Linked DNA regions of Arabidopsis thaliana. The protein of the gene in region 2 binds, or shares a complex with, the protein of the main gene of each other region. Each region holds a gene or a part of one and is shown on either strand. Other genes may lie near its edges. The genes, in order: ndhJ, NdhM, ndhK and PnsL4. A codon is read from its position in the direction of its gene.

Region 1 (7,427 bases), on a different chromosome or scaffold from region 2:
TAAGGCCTATATTATAGAGTATATAACTTCGATCATAGGGGTCAATTTCTAGTCGCATAGCTTCATAATAATTCTGTAATGCTTCCGCATAATTTCCTTCAGATTGAGCCGACATCCGTTACGGTCGTCATTCGCTTTAACGAACTCTCCGTTTCAGAACCGTATGTGAGATTTTCATCTCATACGGCTCCTCCTTTAGGTGCATAATGAAAATAATATATGTAAAAATGTGATGTCATTATGAACTAAGCGGGGCTAATGTTTTTACAAGAAATCCCTAGCCAACCTTCTTGCAAAAGATCTTTTCTTACTACCAAGTGGGTTCATGCTAGATAAAAATAAAAAAGGAAACTCTAAAAATTTCTTTGTTCTCAACGCCCCTAAGTTTCCAGGAATTAGTCACTTCAACAGTCTTCAATGGTTATACGGGTATCCAAAATACGAACGAGATGGATGTTTATTGTTCCAACCATTTTAATTAGTCCCAATCCCAACGAAGAAGAAGAAAGGGAATCATTTTTAAGAAAGTTTTCGTGTTGTTGATTTCTCGGCGTAGTGCTTCTTCCCCTATGCCTCCTATTCGTATATTGTATTAGTGTAGTAGGATTGATCTGTAATACGGGAACCATAGGTAAAAACCTTTTGCTCAATACTATAATTCACAATTGAAGCATCTAAGGCTGCATTAATCGTGGATACATGACAGAAGGGATTGTTTTTTTTATATTATAAACTTCACCTTCAAAAGCGTAGATTTTTTTTCAATACTCGTTTTTCTTTCTATTCCAATCAAAATCGGCGAGAAAAAAAATAATGATAATCAAATCGCACCATCTCTGTAATAAGTAAATGCCTCTTTTTCTCCGGAAGTTGTCGGAATGACTCGTAATAAGATATCGGCTACAATTGTAAAGGTTTTATCAATAAAATTTCCATTTATACGCGATCTTGGCATAGGTAGTAATCCATTCTCTAACTCTTTTTATTTCCTTTACCTTTTCTTTTGTGAGAAAATTTTCTCACAAACAAAGGAATTGTATAGTACGAACTAACATAAAAGCGGACTCATTAAAAAAAACCTTCTATCTACTTCCAAATTTTCCGGTCAAAAAGGGTATCTATTAACCATAATCTAAAAAACGATGAATAACTCGCTATTCACCCAGATACTCAGTCATAATCTTGATGTCGGAGAGATGGCCGAGTGGTTGAAGGCGTAACATTGGAACTGTTATGTAGACTTTTGTTTACCGAGGGTTCGAATCCCTCTCTTTCCGTACTTTCAACAAATTCACCAATCTTACGTGATTGACCACAATGTATCAAATCCAATAAAAAAGAATCGATATAAGATCTACCTTGTTTTGATTTTGAAATAGATTCTCTATTCCTAATTTCTTTCATATGGAAAATGCTGGGAAGAGCAAACAAGGGATCCCAATCTCCCTACCAATCTATGATACATGAATAGGAAAAATATTCTTTGACAAAATCCCTTACCTTGTGCCTTTTTATTTTTAATGGAAAAGGGGAGTTGTCCGAACTCTTGTTTTTAGTAATTTTTTTTTTTACTTAAGTTAGGTTTATTAAGTCTGTCGAGAGTAATATTCTACGACAAGCAATTCATTTATTTTCAAACCGACGCATTTCCTATCTATTATTTGATTGACTAACCCTTCATATTGGAATGTGTGAAGAGTCAGATGGTTTGGCAATTCCTCAGGGGCAGATGAATCAAGAAGATTTTGAACCAAAGTTCTAGAGTTTTGTTCATCCTTCACTGTAATAATATCTCGGGGTTTGCAGCGATAACTTGGTATATCAACTATACGACCATTAACTAAAATATGTCCATGATTAACTAATTGGCGCGCTTGAGGAATAGTCAAAGCCATACCCAATCGAAAAAGGATGTTATCCAAACGCATTTCAAGTAATTGTAGTAAAACTTGACCTGTTGACCCCTTGGCTTTTCCGGCTATACGCACATATTTAAGTAATTGGTGTTCTGTAAGACCATAATGAAAACGCAATTTTTGTTTTTCTTCTAAACGAATACGATATTGAGATTTTTTTACGGAGCGTGATTGGTTTCTAAGATCGCTTCCTGCCTTAGGCCTTTTACTAGTTAGTCCCGGTAAAGCCCCCAGACGGCGTATTTTTTTAAAACGAGGCCCTCGGTAACGTGACATAAAGACTCCTTTTTTGATTGAAATTGTACAAAACTAAATAAAATTAAAACTGAACTAAATGATAATGATAAATGACGTGAAATACACTCCACTATTGGAATACAAAGAGTAAGAAGATATATTCTCTCAATATACAGATTTTTTTTATTGTATATACAATATATATAAATCAACTAAATCACAAAAATTTTCCTTTATTTTCTTGATTAATTTTGCAAAGATCAAACTCTTTTACCCAATATATATTCCTAATATGGAAGTTTATATGACATAATATAAATGGAGTGGTAACTCTTGGAAAAAGGTCAAAGAAGTCTTTTCAATCTTCTTTGATTTTGAAAGTACATTAAAAATCATGTAAAAAAAAACGAAAAAATATGGAAAAGCCGGCTATCGGAATCGAACCGATGACCATCGCATTACAAATGCGATGCTCTAACCTCTGAGCTAAGCGGGCTCAAATAAAATAGCGCATGCATACAAATTCACTAAACTACTAGATCGTATCAATTAACTATTCTATTAATATTTTTCCTTATCTAGTTAGAATTAATGATATTCTATATATTCTAGAACAGAATATAGCTCACATAAATAGTGACTATCATTCATCATTAAATAAATAAAACATAACCTTAATTCTATATATATATCTATATAGTCATAGAATAGTATAGAATTATTAGAATTTCAAATTTACGAAGTAGACTTATAATTTTTTTCCATTGCACATTGTAGAATTCTAAGTTTCAATAATAATAATAATAAATTTCTTTTCATGAAAGTAAAAAAAAAAAAAAGAATCGACCGTTCGACTATTTCTGAAAATTTAAGCCAAAGATGAAAAAAAAAAGAACATATATATGTTATGTAATATATAACCATATTGAATTGCAAATACAAAAATGATAGAATCTTTGTTGATTAGACTAAATCAATATGGATGGAGCTCAAAAAAATAAAAGAAGATAACAAAGACATAAAATAAGTATCTATAATGTAATGAATCCCGAGGTTTCGGCATAAGAAAAAAAAGGAAAGACATCATAATGAGATCCTAAAAAAGGGGATATGGCGGAATTGGTAGACGCTACGGACTTAATTGGATTGAGCCTTGGTATGGAAACCTACTAAGTGATAACTTTCAAATTCAGAGAAACCCTGGAATTAACAATGGGCAATCCTGAGCCAAATCCTGGTTTACGCGAACAAACCGGAGTTTACAAAGCGCGAAAAAAGGGATAGGTGCAGAGACTCAATGGAAGCTGTTCTAACAAATGGAGTTCACTACCTTGTGTTCATAAAGGAATCCTTCGATCGAAACTTCAAATCAAAAAGGATGAAGGATAAAAACCTATATTGTATAAATTTAGGTAACACAAAACGATCTCAAAAATGACGACCTGAATCTCGATTTCTATTTTTTTATAAACAAAATCAAAATGTTGTGAATCAATTCGAAGTTTAAGAAATAATATTTCTTGATTAAAATAAAATTATTCACTTCATAGTCTGATAGATCCTTGATGGAACTTAATTAATCGGACGAGAATAAAGATAGAGTCCCATTTTACATGTCAATACTGACAACAATGAAATTTATAGTAAGATGAAAATCCGTTGACTTTTAAAATCGTGAGGGTTCAAGTCCCTCTATCCCCAGCTCTACTCCCCGAAAAGGTTGACACCTTACCTTTTTTTCGTTATTATTTATTTGAATTATTTATAATCTATATCATTTTTCATTTTCAAACTTAGAAAGTCTTCTTTTATTTATAAAATCCAAGAAATTCCCGGTCCACAACTTTTTGAATTTACTACTTTTGAGTTTCTTTTCATTGACATAGACCTAAGTCATATATTAAAATGATACTGATACTTCAGTAGATTATACTTCGGTAATGGTACACATAGCTTAATTGCGGGGGACTGAAAATCCTTGTGTCACCATTAGTAAAAGCAAGATGATCCTTCGGTAATGGTCGACATAGCTTAGTTGCAGAGGACTGAAAATCCTTATGTCACCATTAGTAGAGGACTGAAAATCCTTATGTCACCATTAGTAAAAGCAAGATGATACTTCAGTAGATGATACCTCAGTAATGGTCGGCATAGCTTAATTGCGGGGGACTTAAAATCCCTGTGTCACATGATAATGATCCTTCAGTAAAGGTAGACATAGCTTTTTTGCAGAGGACTCGAAATCCTCGTGTCACCATTAGGAAAACGAGCATGATACTTCAGTAGATGATACTTGATACTTCAGTAGACTAATGGTGGACATAGCTTTTTTCCGGGGGACTTGAAATCGTTGTGCCACCATTCGTAAAACGAGGATGATCCTTCGCCGGGATAGCTCAGTTGGTAGAGCAGAGGACTGAAAATCCTCGTGTCACCAGTTCAAATCTGGTTCTTGGCAGAGGATTTATTAATTTTGATAAGTTTTTATTCTTCAAATTAAACGTATCTTTAGTAAAAAAAGTGCAATTATGCTTTATCCCCTCTCTTTTTTTTGTTCATGTTGTGAATCCAGCCGTTCAAAAAGAATGTATAATACTTGATACATAATACATATCCGAAAGGAAAGGTTAAATGAGTTCCGTTGAATCAAACAAGTAAAAAAAGGTCTATATGTATAGTATACTATAGTTGAAGGGCAAAAATACCCCAAGGTTCATTAGATACAATAGAAATAGAATTGTATCCCCCCCTTCATTTATTGCTTTCCGATCTTATTTATTCATTCCCAGTTATGTGACTAAAGTTGACTAAGTTATGTGCGCGATACAAAGTTCATAATGCAGAACTCTTTTTTTTTAGTTCATCCTATTGGCTCATTTTTTATCATTCAATAAGCATCTTGTATTTCATAAAAATTGGGGGCAATATAATCCTTACGTAAAGGCCACCCTATCCAACTCTCGGGCATTAGGATCCGTTTCAGTCGTGGATGGCTATCATAAGTGATTCCTAACATATCATAAGATTCCCGTTCTTGAAAATCCGTACTTTTCCAAACCCAGAAAACGGATGGAATTCTAGGATTACTCCTGTGAGTAAATACTTTTATGCAGACTTCTTCCGCTTGATTAACACCATATTCTATTCTCGTAAGATGATACACGCTGGCTAAGAGGCCACCTGGTGCCACATCATAGGCACATTGCGAACGTAAATAATTGTAACCATATACATATAAAATTACAGCAATAGAATGCCAATCTTCGGGCTTTATTTGTAAAGTCTCTATTCCTTGATAATCGAAGCCCAACGATCTATGAACCAGCCCGCGTTTGGCTAGCCAAACGGACAAAGTGCCCTGCATCTTTTTTATTTCCCCCACACCTTTTTTATATAAAATTAAGTATTTCACATTTACCGTTAATTCTAATTTATGAAGATTTTTTTCTGATTCTCTAAAAGCCTCCCTAATTCACTAATTCGTGGGACGATACTGGACTTTTGTATTTAAAAAATGTTTCAGTAGAGATCTCTGAAGTAGATGATGGTGGATAGAGTAGTTCTTGATCATAATTTCCAATATGCGGACTGCGTACAACAAAAAACTTGTGATTGGTAGTAAAACACCGATTACCCTGTTGAGGTCTAATTCGATCCTTATAGATTTCTCTAGCTATTTTCTTACGAAGCTTTGTTATAGCGTCTATAACAGCCTCTGGTTTAGGTGGACAACCCGGCAAATAGACATCTACAGGAATTAGCTTATCAACTCCTCGAACAGTACTATAAGAATCGGTACTGAACATCCCCCCTGTAATTGTACAGGCTCCCATAGCAATAACATACTTCGGTTCAGGCATTTGTTCATATAATCGCACTAAAGAAGGAGCCATTTTCATTGTTACTGTACCTGCTGTTAAAATAAGGTCCGCCTGTCTAGGACTCGATCTTGGTACTAACCCATAACGATCAAAGTCAAATCGGGAGCCTATTAATGAGGCAAATTCAATGAAACAACAACTGGTACCATAAAGAAGCGGCCATAGGCTGGAAAGTCTTGACCAATTTGAAAGATCATTTAACGTAGTTGAAATAACGGAATTTTTTGTTGTTCGATCAAGTATGGGAAACTTAATGGAATTCATAATTGTTTCAATGGTTTTTTTTACTTTTTTTTTTTTTATTATTGTATCAAGTATTCGGTAAACGAACTAAGACCATTCCAATGCTCCTTTTCGCCATGCATAAACTAAACCAAGAATTAGGATAAGCACGAAAATGAAAGCTTCTATAAAAGCAGATACCCCCAGTACATCGAAACTCATTGCCCACGGATACAGAAAAACAGTTTCAACATCAAAAACAACAAAAACTAGAGCAAACATATAATAACGGATTCTAAATTGTAACCAAGCATCCCCGATCGGTTCTATACCTGATTCATAACTAGAAAGTTTCTCCGGCCCCTTCCTAATTGGAGATAAAACTCCGGAAATTAGAAATGCCAAAACAGGAATAGCACTTGATATTAGTAAAAATGCCCAGAAAATATCATATTCGTAAAGCAGAAACATAGACGAACTCCTATGAATGTGGAAAAAATACCCGCTTAGTCAATTCCAATCGGAGTGGATTGGGCAAGGGATATAGAACTCTTGAGTCAAAACAAAAATTCAGGTTAATCGAATCATTTTTTTTCGTTTGGTTGTTGTGGTAGACGTCTCGTTTTAAGATTTATTGATTTCTTATTTTCAGTACACTTATTACTTAATAGTTCCATGTTTCTATTACTAATAGTTTCTAATATAATAATATAATATTAATCTGATTAATAACTAGTAATTTTTTTTATTTCTGTTTATGTTTAAAAAAATTTTTCGAAAAATCTCTTCGTTTTTTAAATGATGACGTATCAAAAAATCCAGTAAGACTTTACCATACTCATCTTACTTAGTATTAGATAGATTGAATTTTGGTTGAATTTAATTAGATTTCTTTTTTTATTTTTAAACAAGGCCGTGTGATAAAAAAAGTAACCAAGATTGAGTGGGGATACAAAAAAAAAAAGAAAGTATTATGAACTTTTTGATTGTAGCTAGTGAACGAGGAAAATTCATATAAAAAAATTACAACTATGAAAATTAATGAAGAAAAAGGTTTATTCTAAATTATAAATTAAGTATCTATCTCGATATATCGATAGATAGTGATTGGCTCCATTGAAATAAAATGAAATTTTCCGTTTTATTCTGAACGATCCCCAGGACTTATGGT
Region 2 (8,045 bases):
CTTTTATAACATTTTGTATTAAGAATTAGTCTTTGATCAAAATATAGAAGGCATGTAAAGGAAATGAAGAAACTTGTAGTTATGGATTGCGGTATGTTTGCTATGAAGCAGGCAAATGATGGGAGAACAGCTAAATGGTTTAAGTGTTAACGAGCTAAACAGTCTTGAGAATCAAATTGAGATAAGTTTGCGTGGAATTCGTATGAGAAAGGTACATAAATACATATACTCTACCTTCTATTATATGCTTTGGAGTGTATTACTCAAAAGATTGACTATAGAACACAACGGAAATCAATAGAACGATTGCTTTTCCGGATTCACAGGAACAACTGTTGACTCAAGAAATCCAAGAACTAAGCCAAAAGGTCACTATGATGAGATATATATATACACACACTGACACACACAAATATCCCCTACCAAAAGTTACAATTCTAATTTTGGGATTTTTGTTGATCGTGGTGCAGAGGAATCTTATTCATCAGGAAAACCTCGATTTATCTAGGAAAGTACAACGGATTCATCAAGAAAATGTGGAGCTCTACAAGAAGGTAACAAATCATGTTTTACAAAAACTCCATTTTCTTTGGAGTAAGAGCTTCGAAGTGATATGGCTTCGACTTTCAGGCTTATATGGCAAACACAAACGGGTTTACACACCGTGAAGTAGCTGTTGCGGATGATGAATCACACACTCAGATTCGGCTGCAACTAAGCCAGCCTGAACATTCCGATTATGACACTCCACCAAGAGCAAACGAATAACAGAGAGGTAAACTTTTTTAATTGATCTTGATGTTTCACAAACATGCATGCACCATTTAGGCATTTTATATATTTTATGTAACTCGTTAAAAACTTTCACAGATTGAAGTTGGAAGATACCATGATGTTGAAGAACACTCCAAAGGCCTTGGTTTGAATAAGGTTCTTGAACTGGAAACCTCTATACACCAAGCCACGTACGATAAGCAGCATGGTTCTTCTAACATAGTCATATTTTCAATCCTAAATATAATTAAAGCATATATAATTAAAATCCGGTGTTGTTATACTCATCTTGAGTATTAATATTGTACTTGTTTATAACCATAGATTCGTCAATTAATAGAGAAAAATCATATGAATTATTATCCTCAAAACTCTCTCAAATATCAATATTCTTAGATCAATAATTTGTTTAATATATATAACCATGCACTTGGTAATTCTAAAATGTTAAATAAACATTTTCTGTTAAGTTTTTTGTTTTGTTGGTTTTATTTTGTAAATTCACCATAATTCTGTTAATCTTATTCCCCCAAACTAACCGGTTTGGAAACTATATAAATTAAATTGATGTGTGATAACTGAATCGGTTATCGTTGACTGCACTGACCAGAAACCAATAAAGGTTCTGTCTTAAAGGGAAACAAATCATCGTCGTCACCAAATCATCACAATTCACAAAGGTTGGTGTAGACAGGGACCTGAGAGATAACGACAAAGAAACAACAAATATAAAATAAAAATCAGAAGAAAATATAAATAAAAAAAGAGGGAAAAAATTCGAAAATTTGCTGCAACCACCAAAAGCTCAGCCAAAAGCAGAGGCCACAATTCTCTCAAACAAGATAAACCCAATTTTGTTATTTTTGTTCTCTCTTCTCTCTCGTTCATGTTTCAAATCTGTTTCTAGGGTTTCACAAACCAGAGATAGAGAGAGGTTTAGCGAAAAATGGCGATGGCCATGGCTCTTCGAAGGCTTTCTTCTTCAATTGACAAACCCATTCGTCCTCTTATTCGATCCACTTCATGTTACATGGTAACAACCCTAAAGTTTCTTCCTTTTATCTCCGAATTTTATAATCGGATTGGAAATTTTCGATTTTTTTTTTTTTTTTTTCTGATTTCTGTTTGTTCCGTTGCAGTCTTCTTTGCCCAGTGAAGCTGTTGATGAGAAGGAAAGATCTCGTGTCACTGTGAGTTTAAGCGCCTTTTTGTATCTCTTGTTTGTTTATAGTTTTCCTTGTGGTTGAAGCAATGGTTTTGATTGTTGAAGTTCTATGTCTGTTTCAAATTGATGTATGGAGTTCTATTTTTGGTGTGACTGAATCTAATGAAACTTATGTCTTTGTAAACGTTCGTTTCAGTGGCCAAAACAGCTTAACGCACCTTTAGAGGAGGTTGATCCTGAGATTGCTGACATTATTGAGCATGAGAAAGCTAGACAATGGAAGGTTAGTTTGTCTCTGAGATTACTATCTCTTAAATCTTGTTCCTTGATTGATTATTATAAGTTAGGCTGATGTTTGTAACGCTTGTGTTATTATAGGGACTTGAACTTATTCCATCTGAGAACTTCACATCTGTGTCGGTGATGCAAGCTGTTGGGTCTGTCATGACTAACAAATACAGTGAAGGCTATCCTGGTGCCAGATACTATGGAGGAAATGAGTATGTTCAGGAATTTTCAATCTGACACATTTAGTTTCAGGACATGATTGCTTGACCAATCTCTGTAATAAGAATTGAAATCTCAAGTACCTTTTGCTTTGTAGGTATATAGACATGGCAGAAACCTTATGCCAGAAGCGCGCTCTTGAAGCTTTCCGGTTAGATCCTGAAAAGTGGGGAGGTAAATTACTACTTTCATGTATATGAGAAACAAGAAATCTGATTAGTCCTTTGATGGCTTATTTGACTGGATCTTACAGTGAATGTTCAACCTTTGTCTGGATCTCCTGCCAACTTCCATGTGTACACTGCATTGTTAAAGCCTCATGAAAGAATCATGGCACTTGATCTTCCTCATGGTGGTCATCTTTCTCATGGTTATCAGGTGCCTTCAAGTTAACTTTGTATGTCATTTCGGAACTCTCTGACTCTGATGAATAACAGTTTCTTTCTTCTTATTTCTCATCAGACTGACACCAAGAAGATATCAGCTGTGTCTATCTTCTTTGAAACAATGCCCTATAGATTGGACGAGAGCACTGGCTACATCGACTACGATCAGGTTCTTAACTCTTCTATTAAGCAATCATAGTAACTTATAACTAACCCGCTTCATAACAATACATAAGTCTTTAATTTTGATTTGCAGATGGAGAAAAGTGCTACTCTTTTCAGGCCAAAATTGATTGTTGCTGGTGCAAGTGCTTATGCTAGATTGTATGACTATGCCCGCATCAGAAAGGTAATTTCAGTCTCATATCCAACTACAGAACAGATTATTGTAATCAGTAGTGAGTTTTGATTCGAACTCTTTTCCCAGGTCTGTAACAAGCAAAAAGCTGTAATGCTAGCAGATATGGCACACATCAGTGGTTTGGTTGCTGCTAATGTAATCCCTTCACCGTTCGACTATGCTGATGTTGTAACCACCACAACTCACAAGTCACTTCGTGGACCCCGTGGAGCCATGATTTTCTTCAGAAAGGGTGTTAAGGAAATTAACAAGCAAGGGAAAGAGGTAAAAAAGAAAAAGAAGCAAAATTTGAACCAAAATGTTTTAGATTTATGTATAATCTTTCACGTCATTCATTTGTTGTCTTGAAAGGTTTTGTATGATTTTGAAGACAAGATCAACCAAGCTGTCTTCCCTGGTCTTCAAGGTGGTCCACACAACCACACTATCACAGGACTAGCTGTTGCTTTGAAACAGGTACGGTGAGGCACGGAATGGAACTAACGTTGCTTATTGGATTTGCGGTTTCTGTAACCTTCAAATGGTTTGAAAATGCAGGCAACTACTTCAGAGTACAAAGCATACCAAGAACAAGTCCTGAGTAACAGTGCAAAGTTTGCTCAGGTACTAATCCCGTGAAGGAAAGAAAAACACATATGGCGTAGTATCTACTTTGATTATATCTCTACATTGTTGTTTCGTGCAGACTCTAATGGAGAGAGGATATGAACTTGTTTCTGGTGGAACTGACAACCATCTGGTTCTAGTGAATCTAAAGCCCAAGGTCACTTGATCTTTTTTTGTATATAATCTTCTTTTATATTTCTTAGTTAAAACTCATTTTTTATTCGATTTTGTTTGCAGGGAATTGATGGATCTAGAGTTGAGAAAGTGTTGGAAGCTGTTCACATTGCATCCAACAAAAACACTGTTCCTGGAGATGTTTCTGCCATGGTTCCTGGTGGAATCAGAATGGGTAAAAATCACATTTAACCATTTTTCTTTTTGGTATTCGAATGGAGTTCTTCTTGATATCCTCTGCCATTGTTATTTTCAGGTACTCCTGCTCTCACTTCCAGAGGCTTTGTTGAGGAAGACTTTGCCAAAGTAGCTGAATACTTCGACAAAGCTGTGACAATAGCTCTCAAAGTCAAATCTGAAGCTCAAGGTTTTTACTTCTCTGATCACGATGCTATGCTTTCCGTTCTTATATACAATGATTGAACTCATTTGTTATGTTTCTAAAACCAGGAACCAAGTTGAAGGATTTCGTGTCAGCAATGGAATCCTCTTCAACCATCCAATCCGAGATTGCGAAACTGCGCCATGAAGTCGAGGAATTCGCTAAGCAGTTCCCAACAATTGGGTTTGAGAAAGAAACCATGAAGTACAAGAACTAAACTGTTTCACCCCACAAGTGTTTTCTGTTATGCTTTGAATTCCCATGGAATGTATAGATGATACATGTAAAACTCTATTTTCACGCTATGCGAAAAATAATGATCTGTTAAATTTTCTCTCTATACATCAAAAAGAAATATACTTAGACAAAAAAAACACATACAACAAAACAGTGAATTCCCTAAAGAAGATTGTCTTTAGCTCACAAGTGACTTAAGAGTAACCACAAAATACCAACAAAACGAGAAAGGGATAAATAAGAAACTAGAAGTTGGGAGAGGCTCATCCACAAGCTGTGGTCATTTCTCAACCTCATCAAATCTCTTTACAAGAATATGGTTCTGTAACCGGACAACATCTCAAAACTTGTTCTGTTTTTTTTTTTTCATTTCTTAGACAGAAAAATGGTTGCAGCATTCTCTTACACTGCCTGCACCAAGCTTTCTCTATTACATCCTTCTATGGTTGCTCAAATCCGACCAAGAACAACACAAAAGGCGTTCGTGGTGACAAATCCGGAACAAGACAGTACTCTTGAAGTACAAGAAACAGAGACACTCAAAGAAGAGCAATCAACAGAGAAGATGAAGAAGCAGCCAACACCATTGAGACCAGTGGAGAAACAGCTGAACGTGAAGAGCAAGGGTATGGGCGATTTTGGTGGTCAGTGGCTAAGCAGTGTCACACGTCACGTTAGGATCTACGCTGCTTATATTGATCCAGAGACTTGTGAGTTTGACCAGTCACAAATGGATAAACTCACTTTGATTCTTGATCCTACTGAAGAATTTGTGTGGGATGATGAAAGCTGTAACAAGGTCTATTCTTATTTCCAAGAACTCGTCGATCACTACGAGGTAACGATAACAATAAACGAACGAAACATTCATCTAAAAGTTAGACTCATTTCAAGAAGACCTTATAATATTGTTTTTGAACAGGGAGCACCATTAACGGAGTACACATTGAGATTGATAGGATCGGACGTAGAACATTACATAAGGAAGATGTTGTTCGATGGAGAAATACAATACAATATGGATGCAAGAGTTCTTAATTTCAGTATGGGAAAGCCTCGTGTACAATTCAATACCAGTAACATTGAAGGTGGTGGAGATGGTCAGCCTCAAGAGGACGCTTAGTGAAACAAACTCTATTTTATAATCATGTAATGGGAATATAAATATATTGTAGTATGCTTTTTAATTTTGTCTATCACAAAGTAACATATGTATATATCATGACATATGCTATAATTATTTTTGTAATAATCAATCTTAAGTTTCTTTGTCTTTTCTTGTTAATGTAAGGTCTTAAGGTCATGTGAATATGTAATGTCAAAGAAACTCAATTCTGGTCTTGCTCATTCATGTTCCTTACTCCTTGCCTCTTTTTAAAAAGATTTCAAACTGATGCAAAACTTGTTAGTTTTAACATTTTTACCCAAAAAGTTATATTAAGTTTTTGAATTTGTCAACGTTTACTAATTATTTACAATTAAAACCCTGTTCTTCTTATCCTCTGGTGTTTCTCGTTGTTCGTCACCAAGACGAACTTTGTGAGGGAGAAAAAATGGCGAATTTACTGGAAACATCAATCTTTTTCTCCTCTGCTGATAAATTACTGTCTTTCCCGCCTAAGAATTCTCAAACCCATCATCTCCCTTTCTCTGCTTTCATCAATGGAGGAAGAAAGATACGCAAAAGCTCAACTATCACCTTTGCTACCGACACTGTCACTTACAATGGCACTACAAGTAAGCTCATAAACCCTAAATCTCTAATCTTTCTGTCTAATTACCAATAAATTCTATTTCTTTAGATTCCAATTTGTATTAATTGTCACCATTAGATAAGCTAAACCCTTTTCATAGACTAGGATTCGTCTAGTTAGAGAAGCTTTTTTTATTGAAGATAGAAATTTTGTGTTTAGGTGCGGAAGTAAAAAGCTCTGTTGAGGATCCAATGGAAGTTGAGGTTGCTGAAGGTTACACTATGGCTCAGTTTTGTGACAAGATTATTGATCTCTTCTTGAATGAGAAACCTAAAGTTAAACAATGGAAGACGTATTTGGTTTTAAGAGATGAATGGAACAAGTACAGTGTTAATTTCTATAAGCGTTGCAGAATCCGAGCTGATACCGAAACTGATCCTATATTGAAGCAGAAACTGGTATCTTTGGAAAGTAAAGTCAAGAAGGTATTTATAGTGTTGTATTTTGTGTTTATTAGTGAACTCAGGTTAGTTTATTGTTGTTGTTGTGTACTTATAGGAGTGAGTATTGTTGCAGATAGATAAGGAAATGGAGAAACACAATGACCTTTTGAAGGAGATTCAAGAAAACCCAACAGACATAAACGCAATCGCTGCCAAGAGACGCAGAGACTTTACGGGAGAGTTTTTCCGCTATGTTACTTTGTTATCAGAAACTCTTGATGGCTTGGAAGACCGAGATGGTACTTAAAACATTAATCATGTTGCTTACTTATTGATTCCCACAGTTTCATGATTGTTTTGTTATTTTTGAGCAGCTGTTGCGAGGCTTGCAACTAGATGTTTATCTGCTGTGAGTGCTTATGACAACACGTTGGAGAGTGTTGAGACTCTAGATACTGCTCAAGCAAAGTTTGAAGATATTTTAAACTCTCCATCCGTGGATTCTGCTTGCGAAAAGATCAGAAGTTTAGCCAAGGCAAAGGAGCTTGATTCCTCATTGATCTTATTGATCAACAGTGCATACGCTGCTGCAAAAGAGTCTCAAACTGTTACGAACGAGGTAATAGCCATTGGATTACAATCTTCTTTAATATTCTTCACAATCTTCTCAAATCGATATCGTATTTTTTGAACAGGCTAAAGACATAATGTATCATTTATACAAAGCTACAAAGAGCAGTCTTAGAAGCATCACACCGAAAGAGATCAAACTTTTAAAGTACTTACTCAACATAACAGACCCCGAAGAACGATTCTCTGCCCTAGCTACAGCATTCTCTCCTGGTGATGACCACGAAGCTAAGGACCCTAAAGCATTATACACGTAAGTAACATAAAGATGCACACTTTAGTGTTTCATCTTTAACCACAACCATTGATTCTAACCAAGCTGATGACACAGGACGCCAAAGGAGCTGCATAAGTGGATAAAGATAATGCTTGATGCTTACCATCTCAACAAAGAAGAAACAGACATTAAAGAAGCTAAACAGATGAGCCAACCTATCGTTATTCAGCGGCTTTTCATTCTCAAGGACACTATCGAAGACGAGTATTTAGACAAGAAAACAATCGTGGCTGATGAAACTCCAAAGAAGGAAGAAGAAGATACGACTATTGAAGATTTTTTGAACTGAAAATTGTGAAATCCATGAACACACTCTGTTTACAATTAGTACCTTTTATGTAATGGGGAAAAGAGTAATTTTGTAGAATTCTCAGCTATAATTGCAATTACGACTAAATGTGAGGTCTAA
Region 3 (3,622 bases), on a different chromosome or scaffold from region 2:
CTTGAAATAGCAGAAGCTAACTTGAGAAAAGCTGAAGGTAAGAGACAGACAATTGAGGCTAATCTAGCTCTCAGACGAGCTCGGACACGAGTCGAGGCTCTCAATACGATTTGATTTTGTAACTAGCTGACGTGTAAAAAAAAAGAATGTATAAAAAAAATAGGATCGAAAGACGATAAAAACAATAAAATAAAAAAAGCTGGTTACAAAAACTTATTAGACACCATTGATCATGGTGTCTAATAAGTTATACCTACTATTGGATTTGAACCAATGACTCCTGCCGTATGAAAGCAATACTCTAACCACTGAGTTAAGTAGGTTATTTATCATTGTAAAGAGAAGGAAAGGGGATACCTATCACATCGATAGGATTATAAATCCAATATTATTTCTAAGCAATACCAATAAACAATGAGATCAAAGAGATATAATGTTCGATCATGTAATATTAATCTTGACAAGAAATTATCTACATGATAAGATAAAATGTGTATCACAAACACAAGGGCTATAGCTCAGTTAGGTAGAGCACCTCGTTTACACGTGCGCCAAAGTTTTTCAGAGGAGTCCATCACGCAATCAAACTAATTGATTGATCTTATTAAGAAATCGATGTCTTACTCCATGACTTTTTTTTAGGAAAAAAGAGGAGAACAACAGCCTGACATTAGGTCCTATTAAAGTACCCCGTTAGGTAGGGAATGAATAGAACCCATCATTGATTTGAGATATTGATAGGGTGAATACCCAGTCTACTCAATGCTAGGTAGAATGAGTATAAGGAACTCAAAAATGATCTTTTCGTCCTATGAACCTTAAGGTGTATCAAGTTTCATGTTTGATTTTTTAATCAGGATGTTAGAGACTATATTTAACTTAAGTTGATCTAGACCAAAAGCAAACCTACGTCAAGAGAACCCTTCTTTGAAACACTTTGGTAGTTCTTCTGTATTGTATTAGAATTCAAAAATAATCAATCAGAGTACTTGGAACCATTTCTTATCTTTTTTTTAAGAAAAAATATGGTAGACTAACTGATCTTTCGATCAGTTAATGAAAGAGCCCAATGCAAAAAAAAATGCATGTTGGGTCTTTGAAAGAGTTCGAATCATTTTGATAATAATAAGTTCGAACTCTTTTACCGAGCAGGTCTACGGTTCGAGTCCGTATAGCCCTAACTAAGAAATTTATTCTAAAAAATCACATTAAAATCAAAATAATTGGATAAATTTTTTTACTTTTTTTTGTATTCTTTATTTCTAACAGGTTACTTTTAATTGCTCGGTTCATAAAAAAAATTTCCATATCATAAACCATAAGTCCTGGGGATCGTTCAGAATAAAACGGAAAATTTCATTTTATTTCAATGGAGCCAATCACTATCTATCGATATATCGAGATAGATACTTAATTTATAATTTAGAATAAACCTTTTTCTTCATTAATTTTCATAGTTGTAATTTTTTTATATGAATTTTCCTCGTTCACTAGCTACAATCAAAAAGTTCATAATACTTTCTTTTTTTTTTTGTATCCCCACTCAATCTTGGTTACTTTTTTTATCACACGGCCTTGTTTAAAAATAAAAAAAGAAATCTAATTAAATTCAACCAAAATTCAATCTATCTAATACTAAGTAAGATGAGTATGGTAAAGTCTTACTGGATTTTTTGATACGTCATCATTTAAAAAACGAAGAGATTTTTCGAAAAATTTTTTTAAACATAAACAGAAATAAAAAAAATTACTAGTTATTAATCAGATTAATATTATATTATTATATTAGAAACTATTAGTAATAGAAACATGGAACTATTAAGTAATAAGTGTACTGAAAATAAGAAATCAATAAATCTTAAAACGAGACGTCTACCACAACAACCAAACGAAAAAAAATGATTCGATTAACCTGAATTTTTGTTTTGACTCAAGAGTTCTATATCCCTTGCCCAATCCACTCCGATTGGAATTGACTAAGCGGGTATTTTTTCCACATTCATAGGAGTTCGTCTATGTTTCTGCTTTACGAATATGATATTTTCTGGGCATTTTTACTAATATCAAGTGCTATTCCTGTTTTGGCATTTCTAATTTCCGGAGTTTTATCTCCAATTAGGAAGGGGCCGGAGAAACTTTCTAGTTATGAATCAGGTATAGAACCGATCGGGGATGCTTGGTTACAATTTAGAATCCGTTATTATATGTTTGCTCTAGTTTTTGTTGTTTTTGATGTTGAAACTGTTTTTCTGTATCCGTGGGCAATGAGTTTCGATGTACTGGGGGTATCTGCTTTTATAGAAGCTTTCATTTTCGTGCTTATCCTAATTCTTGGTTTAGTTTATGCATGGCGAAAAGGAGCATTGGAATGGTCTTAGTTCGTTTACCGAATACTTGATACAATAATAAAAAAAAAAAAAGTAAAAAAAACCATTGAAACAATTATGAATTCCATTAAGTTTCCCATACTTGATCGAACAACAAAAAATTCCGTTATTTCAACTACGTTAAATGATCTTTCAAATTGGTCAAGACTTTCCAGCCTATGGCCGCTTCTTTATGGTACCAGTTGTTGTTTCATTGAATTTGCCTCATTAATAGGCTCCCGATTTGACTTTGATCGTTATGGGTTAGTACCAAGATCGAGTCCTAGACAGGCGGACCTTATTTTAACAGCAGGTACAGTAACAATGAAAATGGCTCCTTCTTTAGTGCGATTATATGAACAAATGCCTGAACCGAAGTATGTTATTGCTATGGGAGCCTGTACAATTACAGGGGGGATGTTCAGTACCGATTCTTATAGTACTGTTCGAGGAGTTGATAAGCTAATTCCTGTAGATGTCTATTTGCCGGGTTGTCCACCTAAACCAGAGGCTGTTATAGACGCTATAACAAAGCTTCGTAAGAAAATAGCTAGAGAAATCTATAAGGATCGAATTAGACCTCAACAGGGTAATCGGTGTTTTACTACCAATCACAAGTTTTTTGTTGTACGCAGTCCGCATATTGGAAATTATGATCAAGAACTACTCTATCCACCATCATCTACTTCAGAGATCTCTACTGAAACATTTTTTAAATACAAAAGTCCAGTATCGTCCCACGAATTAGTGAATTAGGGAGGCTTTTAGAGAATCAGAAAAAAATCTTCATAAATTAGAATTAACGGTAAATGTGAAATACTTAATTTTATATAAAAAAGGTGTGGGGGAAATAAAAAAGATGCAGGGCACTTTGTCCGTTTGGCTAGCCAAACGCGGGCTGGTTCATAGATCGTTGGGCTTCGATTATCAAGGAATAGAGACTTTACAAATAAAGCCCGAAGATTGGCATTCTATTGCTGTAATTTTATATGTATATGGTTACAATTATTTACGTTCGCAATGTGCCTATGATGTGGCACCAGGTGGCCTCTTAGCCAGCGTGTATCATCTTACGAGAATAGAATATGGTGTTAATCAAGCGGAAGAAGTCTGCATAAAAGTATTTACTCACAGGAGTAATCCTAGAATTCCATCCGTTTTCTGGGTTTGGAAAAGTACGGATTTTCAAGAACGGGAATCTTATGATATGTTAGGAATCACTTATGATAGCCATCCACGACTGAAACGGATCCTAA
Region 4 (7,625 bases), 600 kb from region 2:
ATAAACTCGTATAGAATCATGCCAATGATGCCATATAAAATACAATTAGGAGTTAGGAAATACATTTAAATAAATATCTAACGGCTGCCGGAAACTTCTTATCGACAGTCTTTAAATAGAGTGCATAAACTTGTTATTATATGTACCGAACGTTGAAGGTTTGCTCGACAACTCCAAAACATTATAAAATTTTGTCAGCTAACTTACCACTAATTATTTCGATCGAGTGAGGAGTCACCTTCATATTCTTATCTATATTTTTATATATATAACAGAAAATTTATAAATTCTTGTCAACTAACTTGCCACTAATTATTCGAGTGGAGTCCCCTTCATATATTCATAGATACATATAACTACAATTTATTATGTCAGCTAACCGTTGGTATTAGTATGAGTTACCAAAAAGGCAAAGATTCGAATTTATGACAAGTTCTGTTTATTGATAGACGAAAGAAACAAAATTGTCCCTATATTCAAGATAAAAAGAACGACTTTAATTACATGTACGTATTTGTATTTGCTGGACGATAATAAACATACAAATTCAATTTTGAGGAGTTGAAAATATTCCCTAGCTTCATTCCAGATAATTATATGAGTTTTTGTATATCTACTATTGAATTATTACGTAAAATTATGAATACGTGAAGAGAATGTAATACATACTATGAAACAGCTAGCTAAGTTGAGAGGGGAGGTGGCACAACTCCTCCAATAAGGAGACAGCCTCACACGCGTATTCCAATCGGCGCCGTCATATTGCCACGTATACAATTGAACGCTCGAGATCTCTTCCCCATACGTGTGAAGCTGTCTCGTAGTGAGTAAATATTAACTTTATAAATCTCCACGATGGTTCTTGCTATTTTTATATATCACCTTTAAATTTTGCTAAATTTGATCATTGATCCTAATTAATTTAATAATGAACCGACTATTAATTATGCTTTAGATAAATTAGTATGAATTCGTTAATAAATGCATGGCTCTCTCACCTTCTTTCTGTCTTCCTTGTGAAGAACAACAAGATTTAAATAAAAATACCTAAAGTTATTATTCCATGATTTAGTTGTATTCACATCACATGGATTCCCTTTTCCCTACAAAGCTTACCTTCGTATATATGCTAAGTTAAAATAGTAACATATATACATTTGTTCAACAATTGGATACAAATATGAACCAAAAAAACAATTGGTTACAAAAATACTTTAAATGATTGAATTTAGTATGGTTTTAAAGCGTATATATCCCTTTAGTTCCACTTTTCCCATCAAATATCTTCTTAACTAAACCACAAGGTCTTTGGCAATTGGCATATATATTGCTTACGGTCTAAGTTCTTAAAGACATCTTTTTCTATTTTTTATAAAGTTGGCCAAATTTGTGTCAATTATAAACACAACAACATACTTTTTCTTTCGTACCAATACAATTATATACACAAAAGTAATTCTTTATTAAAATATCAAATTAAGGCCTTTATAAGTCGAGGCAACCAAGCTAACAACTCATTGCAAACTGAAACCAAAACAAATATCTATACAAACACATAACACATATTGAGAGCCAGAGTGAAAAGAATTATACCCATTACTAATCGCCTTTATCTGTGAATTTTCTTGATAAAAAGAAGACACAAGTCAAAGATAAAATCAACAAGATGGGAGTTGGGGGAACGTTGGAGTATATATCAGAGCTAATAGGGAATGGAGGAAGCCATAGTTATGGAAAAAGGAAGAAGAAGAAGCAGTTTCAAACAGTAGAGCTCAAAGTTAGGATGGATTGTGATGGTTGTGTCCTCAAAATCAAAAACTCTCTTTCTTCTCTAAAAGGTAACTAGCTTCTTCTTTTATAATCAAAATTCTCGTCCGAATTTGTGTTACTGTCCCTTATGAGATGTGTTTGCTTACTCCTATCTAAAACTTATATAAATACATGCATCAATCATCATGCATGCATATATATAACATGAAAAATCTTCCTTCATATATTTTCAGGAGTGAAAACGGTGGAGATAAACAAGAAGCAACAGAAGGTGACAGTGAGTGGTTATGCGGATGCGAGCAAGGTGCTGAAGAAGGCTAAAGCGACGGGGAAGAAAGCCGAGATATGGCCGTACGTACCGTACAACTTGGTGGCTCAGCCGTACATAGCTCAGGCTTATGATAAGAAAGCACCGCCTGGTTACGTCAGAAAAGTTGACCCAAACGTCACCACCGGGACGATGGCTGTTTACTACGATGACCCTTCTTATACTTCTTTGTTTAGTGATGATAATCCTAATGCTTGCTCTATTATGTAGTTTTTTTTTATTTATTAGATAATTTATAAAGGAATTTATATAATATATGCCGGTAATATATGCATAAATGTGGGTTATAAATTTTGGTGTTTGTTCTCTTTTAGTTCATGGTTTTGTCTTCTTTTGCATGTGCTCTTTGTTGGTGTTACAAGTGAATGTTTTATTAATATTAATATAGATCTAGTATTATATTAGCTTAATCAATTGGATATCGTAAGTAATCATTGTTTACTATCATTGGAAGATATAAGTGGAAACTAGTTAATTTTTTCTATGCTAGTTTCAAACTTACAAAACAATAACAAAGACGTTTGTTTTTGGTTAAGGTGTTTCATGGTCTTTTAATTTGAGTTTAGTTTTTTGGGACCCCAATATTCTAACTCTTTTCACCCACTCTCTTTCTCTTTTACATACATTATTAAAAGAAAAATCCAAAAATGGATAGTAAAGATCGATCACATAAAGCTTAAAAAAACTGTGTATCATAACATACACGGGTCATGTAATCTTTCTATACATACAACTACCCCCACCATACTATATTTTAAAGGACTTATTCAACAATTTTTACTGATATGATTCTTGCTCTTCAGTCTTCAGGTGTAAACAAAGTAAGAGCATCCTCAACAATAAGCTCTTATTAAAAACCTCTTAACAACAATAACAATGATTATTTTATTATAATATTATTATATAAATAAATTTTAAGTTTAAGAAAAAAATGAACCAATGTATAAGTGACATGTGGCTTAGGTGGTTTACTTGATTATTAAAAACCTCTCTTCATTCTCTTATCTAAGAGCTCCTCTTCATTTTTTCTCTTCTTCTTTCCATGTTTTTATTTTTATATTACTAGATGAATTCCCACGCTACGCGTGGGTTTGTTTTAAAAATTCTTTAGATAAAAATATGTTAATTATTTTTGTCGCTAATTTATGTTTACTTTTTGTTTGTTATTTTATACTTAGTAAAATTAGACTCATCTTATGTACTTACATTTTTATTGTTAGATTCATTTTTGACTCTAAATATCAATTTTTATATATTTTCATGTATAATCTGATTATTTTTATATCCAAAATTCTAAAATTTGTTCATTATCATGAATACACACAATAAGAATATAAGATATTTTGATTTCAAGAGTTTTCGTATGAAAAAAAAGAAGCAAAAATTAAAGAGTTATTTTAGTAACACTTTTTAGATTTTATACTATTGCATATAGCCGTATAAGACAAATGGATTTGTTTTGAATTTTGTGGTATGTTTAACGTCTCAAAAGTCTATTACTTAAAAATATTGAATGTCAATGTTACGAACTTACCTAAAGATACAAAAATAAAAATACAGAATTTCATATGATAAGATATGAACCATAACGTAATAATAATTAAAAAATCAAGGTAAAATAACTACACTAATATTAGGTAGCAAACAAATAAACTACAACATAAACAACTATTTAGTCATTATAGAGTGATGACCATTGACCATTAAAATTTTTAAAAATAAAAAATAATAAAAGTAAAATAAAAGTAGTAATTGATTTATTTAAATAAGTAATTTTATTTATATTTATATTTTGAAAAAATCATTTAAGAAATGAATTAATGGAGGATTTAACACAATATGAGATTTTTTATTTTCTCTCAATTAATTTTGCTAATTTTAATTTAATCAATATTAAATGACACATGATATTTTCTTATGTGATGATGTGTCACCCATATGGAGAGAGTTGGCCAACTTTCATATATATGATTTCTTTAAAAACCTCATTTATCTTAGAACCCTCCATTGAGGATGGCCTAACATCAGCCTTTAAGAACCTCCGGTACGCTGTAAATTAGCTCATGCACTGTGTTTTTCCTGGAAAATCGAAAAATGAAGATTTGTCTTATGTATTTTCAACATGCTCAAGTAGGCAAGAACCAAAGTTTTACACTTTTTTTGGCCTTAAGATTCATGAGTTGTTGTGAGGGGACCAATTACAGAGATATGACACCGATGAAAAACCACATCACACAACTTTATTCTAGACTCTGTACATCTTTGTGACACAAGCTGCATCACTTACCAAGACTGAATCTAACCTAACACGCGCTTATACATTTATGCAAGTATATGATTTTCCAAGGTCATAACTTAACAAAAAGACAGATCTGCACAGAGAAGATGTGTCTTGTTCTTTAATAGGAGGTTAGACATTGGATTCAGTTGGAAATCATCAATGTTTTAGGTTACAGAAATTATAATCTGAAGCTTGTCAAAAGTAATCACCTGGTGATATACATCACATACATAGTTGTTTGTTCCTTTACCAAACGGGATTGGAGTTGGCTTCATCTTGTATTACTTCCTGGGTAGATCTCAACAAAGTTGATATCATAGAGCAAAGTTGCATTGCCAGGTATGTTGCAGTCACCTGCATAAAGAGTCGATTTATTACTCGAGATACATATCTTACATATACAAGTGAAACTGTTACAGAGGAATTGTGCAAGTACCAGAAAAGCATCCTGCAGGCTCTGGTCCATAAGCTAACTTAGGTGGAATCTGAAGTTTACGCTTTCCGCCTGCAAAATAAAACCGCACCAATATGTTATCAGCCAAATAAAGGACATTGAACAAAGGAAAATACAGTACACTTGCCTACTCGCATAGGAGGTACTCCTTCGCCTCCAAGAATCCCCTGGTCTAGTCCCCTAATTACCTGATCATTTTTGGACATCAAGAGTTTAGATATATAGTTGTTTTGCTCACCCTAATCACAAAGAAGAACATAAGAAACTAACTAACTTCAACAAAGACAAGTGTGAACTTTGCTAGCAATGCAATTGAAGACTATGGAAGCTAACAAAGAGAGAGAGAGACAATGGTTCTTTGTTGTACCTTGCCGACTCCAATTCGCATAGTAAGTGGTCTTGCACGCTTATAGCTACTGTCAAACAACGTTCCATCTGCAAACCTCGCCGTGTAATGGATCTGTGTGTGTGTGACCAACTCTCCAAAGTCTCAAACTTTGAATCAAAAACCCTAAACAGAGGAAATTAGAGAGATGGAGAGATTACATTGACGAGTACGCCACGAGGGGCTTCATCACCAAATCCAACATCGAGATCGCAAAATCCAAGTCCTGATTTTGCGTAGCTGTATTCGCAGAGAGGATCTCCTACAGTGGCGTAGTAGTCAATCCTCGTGGCGTCTGCGTCCAGAGGCGTTAGAGAGAGAATCGAAGAAGCTAGGAACCCTAAACCCACTCCGAAAACGCGTTTCTTGACGGAGAGTTTCGGCTCGCAATCGGAGGAAGAAGAACAGAGACACGAAAAGGACGAGGAAGAAGAAGAAGAAAAGAAGATGGTTGGTCTGAAGGAACGTGTATAGAGAGATTGTGTGAGTGTTAAAGTAGAAATCGCCATTCTTCTTTGAGTCTTCGTTTCGATCTCTGCTTCCTTATCTGCGTGAAGCCAGAGCCTTTGGTCTGAATCTTTTGTCTTTTGAGTGTGCAACGGTACAATGGATATGATTATGGGACCCACCCGTATTTTTTTGGATTTCTATTTTCAACAGAACAAAAATAATAATGAAACTTTTGGAGCCAATCGGCCCACAAAATTGAGAACCCGAATCGAATTATTTGGATAGTAAGATAATGGCCAGACCTAGTTATCACTCAACTATGAAACCGAGTATCATCTGAATACATAGAAAACCCATCAGTGCGACAATAGCTTGATATCATGGTCCACCATAACCACCACCATAATATTAAACCATCATCATCACCCATTATTATATATTCCATTTAGATAGAGATACACATATATGCACATTGTTGATAGTTTATGTAAGTGATGTGTATAGGTTATACAGTGCATTGGTGACTTAAGTGTAACTGGTCCGTGGACAAAAAAATATCAAAATCATTTGAACTTTTGTATACACAAGAACAAGCAAAAGATTTTTCATCAAATGTCATTATTTGTTTTGCGACCATCAATCCATCATCAAATCTTATTGTGAAAAACAAGAATTATTATTTTTAAGAGTTACTATTATACTATACAGTAGCAAATGATATTATTGAAAACCCCGCTTACAAAGAACTGACATTTCATTCTGAAGTGTTGTTAAGCTAGAGACTAGAAAGAGATATAAATTAAGCTGAATATTCTAACGATTGATTGGTTAATGAGAAGACTGAAAAAAGTTAGGAATTTTGTAGACGCATCACATTCAGAGCCGTGACAAGGTCAATGGTTGTCGGAGGCGGTCAAATGAAATTTGCCCCTATTCACAAACAAAGAGACTTATAATAATAGAAGTAAAAGTGTCTATAAAGATAAATTGTCATATGACAAAAGTAGGTCAAAACCAAAATGTATGTATAATTATCATTATTGATTACCTGTTTTTCTTTTGCTTGGGAAATTTTCAAATTTCAAATCTGTTGGTATGGTAAAATGAGAGTCAAGTCAATAAAAATTGACGTTAATGTAGATGATACACCAAAAATGAATAAGCACATGGGAGAACAGTAATTTATCAAATTTCAAATCACCACAAGTCTATAATTAATTAATAATTATATACTATGGTCCCAAAACCATATTCCACAATCCGGCGGCCGTGGAAGATTCCCCAAATTTCGCCACCATTCACTCCAATATTAATTAGGAGAAATATTAACCGTAGTGATCCCAAAACCACGTACTGTATATTGATTGTTGAAAAATTAAAATTTCATATCGCAAGTCATCGTTGTCATTAAAATTTAAAAGTTCTATATAATTATAAGAAAATATACCAAGAAAATCTGATTCAAATGGTGAGATCCATCTACTAACTAATACTTACCAACATATAGTTATGGAAAAAACTAAGATTAACAAATAACAAGCATATTAATTAAGTATTAAATAATTAACAAACCCTACACGAAAAAAGTTTTAAAGTGGTTTATACTGAAATATAGAATATATAAACGAGTAACTTCATCATGCTATATGTGCTATGTTTAATTTGTTGAGTAATCATGTCAAGAGATTAGCTTTGATTTCGGACTTGGACTATACATAAATATATTTATGTTCTCTGGTCGGAAGACGAAGATAACCAAGTACCGTCATTATTATGTTCATGATCGGAGCCACCGTAGCTTCCATTATCACCGGTGTTTATGTTCCCGTTAGCCGCTGCCGTTGTAGTAGGAGGATTAGTAGATGGAGTCTGCATCATACCAAGACCAAACTGATCGTGCTCATTGCTTCTAGGGTTTGAAATATGAGCTTGAAGAAGAGCTTGCAGATTCATATCC

Evidence for each region.
Region 1: the proteins of NdhM (region 2) and ndhJ are in contact, whole or in part, in a cryo-EM structure (PDB 7WFG), measured with the Arabidopsis thaliana proteins. Residues at the interface, in NP_001031804.1 of Arabidopsis thaliana: Thr156 (codon at 5,527), Glu157 (codon at 5,530), Tyr158 (codon at 5,533), Arg161 (codon at 5,542), Leu162 (codon at 5,545), Ser165 (codon at 5,554), Glu168 (codon at 5,563), His169 (codon at 5,566), Arg172 (codon at 5,575), Ser192 (codon at 5,635), Met193 (codon at 5,638), Gly194 (codon at 5,641); in NP_051062.1 of Arabidopsis thaliana: Pro134 (codon at 5,118), Ser136 (codon at 5,112), Trp137 (codon at 5,109), Ile138 (codon at 5,106), Pro149 (codon at 5,073), Asn150 (codon at 5,070), Phe151 (codon at 5,067), Tyr152 (codon at 5,064), Glu153 (codon at 5,061), Gln155 (codon at 5,055), Ala157 (codon at 5,049).
Region 3: the proteins of NdhM (region 2) and ndhK are in contact, whole or in part, in a cryo-EM structure (PDB 7WFG), measured with the Arabidopsis thaliana proteins. Residues at the interface, in NP_001031804.1 of Arabidopsis thaliana: Trp89 (codon at 5,242), Ser91 (codon at 5,248), Val93 (codon at 5,254), Thr94 (codon at 5,257), Arg95 (codon at 5,260), Ile104 (codon at 5,287), Asp105 (codon at 5,290), Pro106 (codon at 5,293), Glu107 (codon at 5,296), Asp117 (codon at 5,326), Lys118 (codon at 5,329), Leu119 (codon at 5,332), Thr120 (codon at 5,335), Leu121 (codon at 5,338), Ile122 (codon at 5,341), Leu123 (codon at 5,344), Asp124 (codon at 5,347), Thr126 (codon at 5,353), Val130 (codon at 5,365), Trp131 (codon at 5,368), Glu151 (codon at 5,428), Ala153 (codon at 5,518), Pro154 (codon at 5,521), Leu155 (codon at 5,524), Arg161 (codon at 5,542), Gln181 (codon at 5,602), Tyr182 (codon at 5,605), Asn183 (codon at 5,608), Met184 (codon at 5,611), Asp185 (codon at 5,614); in NP_051063.1 of Arabidopsis thaliana: Ser3 (codon at 2,451), Ile4 (codon at 2,454), Lys5 (codon at 2,457), Phe6 (codon at 2,460), Pro7 (codon at 2,463), Met83 (codon at 2,691), Pro87 (codon at 2,703), Val90 (codon at 2,712), Arg91 (codon at 2,715), Tyr101 (codon at 2,745), Val126 (codon at 2,820), Asp127 (codon at 2,823), Lys128 (codon at 2,826), Leu129 (codon at 2,829), Ile130 (codon at 2,832), Pro131 (codon at 2,835), Val132 (codon at 2,838), Asp133 (codon at 2,841), Tyr135 (codon at 2,847), Lys156 (codon at 2,910), Glu160 (codon at 2,922), Arg173 (codon at 2,961), Cys174 (codon at 2,964), Phe175 (codon at 2,967), Thr176 (codon at 2,970), Thr177 (codon at 2,973), Asn178 (codon at 2,976), His179 (codon at 2,979), Lys180 (codon at 2,982), Val183 (codon at 2,991).
Region 4: NdhM (region 2) and PnsL4 share a complex: the UniProt entries of both Arabidopsis thaliana proteins name them as parts of the chloroplast NDH complex.

Annotation. Positions count from the first base shown.
Region 1 is NC_000932.1:43,637-51,063, forward strand, and holds ndhJ (NADH dehydrogenase subunit J), read right to left. Parts: upstream 5,518-7,427; coding exon 5,041-5,517; downstream 1-5,040. Other genes in the region: photosystem I assembly protein Ycf3, read right to left, coding at 1-115, 830-955; rps4 (ribosomal protein S4), read right to left, coding at 1,587-2,192; ndhK (NADH dehydrogenase subunit K), read right to left, coding at 5,621-6,298; ndhC (NADH dehydrogenase subunit 3), read right to left, coding at 6,365-6,727. UniProt on the Arabidopsis thaliana protein: NDH shuttles electrons from NAD(P)H:plastoquinone, via FMN and iron-sulfur (Fe-S) centers, to quinones in the photosynthetic chain and possibly in a chloroplast respiratory chain.
Region 2 is NC_003075.7:17,828,418-17,836,462, reverse strand, and holds NdhM (subunit NDH-M of NAD(P)H:plastoquinone dehydrogenase complex), read left to right. Parts: upstream 1-4,843; 5' UTR 4,844-4,977; coding exon 4,978-5,430; intron 5,431-5,514; coding exon 5,515-5,715; 3' UTR 5,716-5,930; downstream 5,931-8,045. Other genes in the region: AGL21 (AGAMOUS-like 21), read left to right, coding at 112-211, 327-368, 471-554, 631-768; SHM1 (serine transhydroxymethyltransferase 1), read left to right, coding at 1,721-1,807, 1,914-1,964, 2,136-2,222, 2,318-2,439, 2,544-2,620, 2,700-2,824, 2,909-3,001, 3,089-3,181 and 7 more; AT4G37920 (endoribonuclease E-like protein), read left to right, coding at 6,146-6,329, 6,506-6,771, 6,863-7,028, 7,104-7,348, 7,425-7,612, 7,691-7,925. UniProt on the Arabidopsis thaliana protein: NDH shuttles electrons from NAD(P)H:plastoquinone, via FMN and iron-sulfur (Fe-S) centers, to quinones in the photosynthetic chain and possibly in a chloroplast respiratory chain.
Region 3 is NC_000932.1:48,757-52,378, reverse strand, and holds ndhK (NADH dehydrogenase subunit K), read left to right. Parts: upstream 1-2,444; coding exon 2,445-3,122; downstream 3,123-3,622. Other genes in the region: atpE (ATP synthase CF1 epsilon subunit), read left to right, coding at 1-114; ndhC (NADH dehydrogenase subunit 3), read left to right, coding at 2,016-2,378; ndhJ (NADH dehydrogenase subunit J), read left to right, coding at 3,226-3,622. UniProt on the Arabidopsis thaliana protein: NDH shuttles electrons from NAD(P)H:plastoquinone, via FMN and iron-sulfur (Fe-S) centers, to quinones in the photosynthetic chain and possibly in a chloroplast respiratory chain.
Region 4 is NC_003075.7:18,422,599-18,430,223, forward strand, and holds PnsL4 (FK506-binding protein 16-2), read right to left. Parts: upstream 5,981-7,625; 5' UTR 5,728-5,980; coding exon 5,380-5,727; intron 5,294-5,379; coding exon 5,201-5,293; intron 5,022-5,200; coding exon 4,961-5,021; intron 4,885-4,960; coding exon 4,816-4,884; intron 4,734-4,815; coding exon 4,651-4,733; 3' UTR 4,159-4,650; downstream 1-4,158. Other genes in the region: AT4G39700 (Heavy metal transport/detoxification superfamily protein), read left to right, coding at 1,667-1,838, 2,004-2,308; AT4G39720 (VQ motif-containing protein), read right to left, coding at 6,582-6,598, 6,717-6,755, 7,432-7,625. UniProt on the Arabidopsis thaliana protein: NDH shuttles electrons from NAD(P)H:plastoquinone, via FMN and iron-sulfur (Fe-S) centers, to quinones in the photosynthetic chain and possibly in a chloroplast respiratory chain.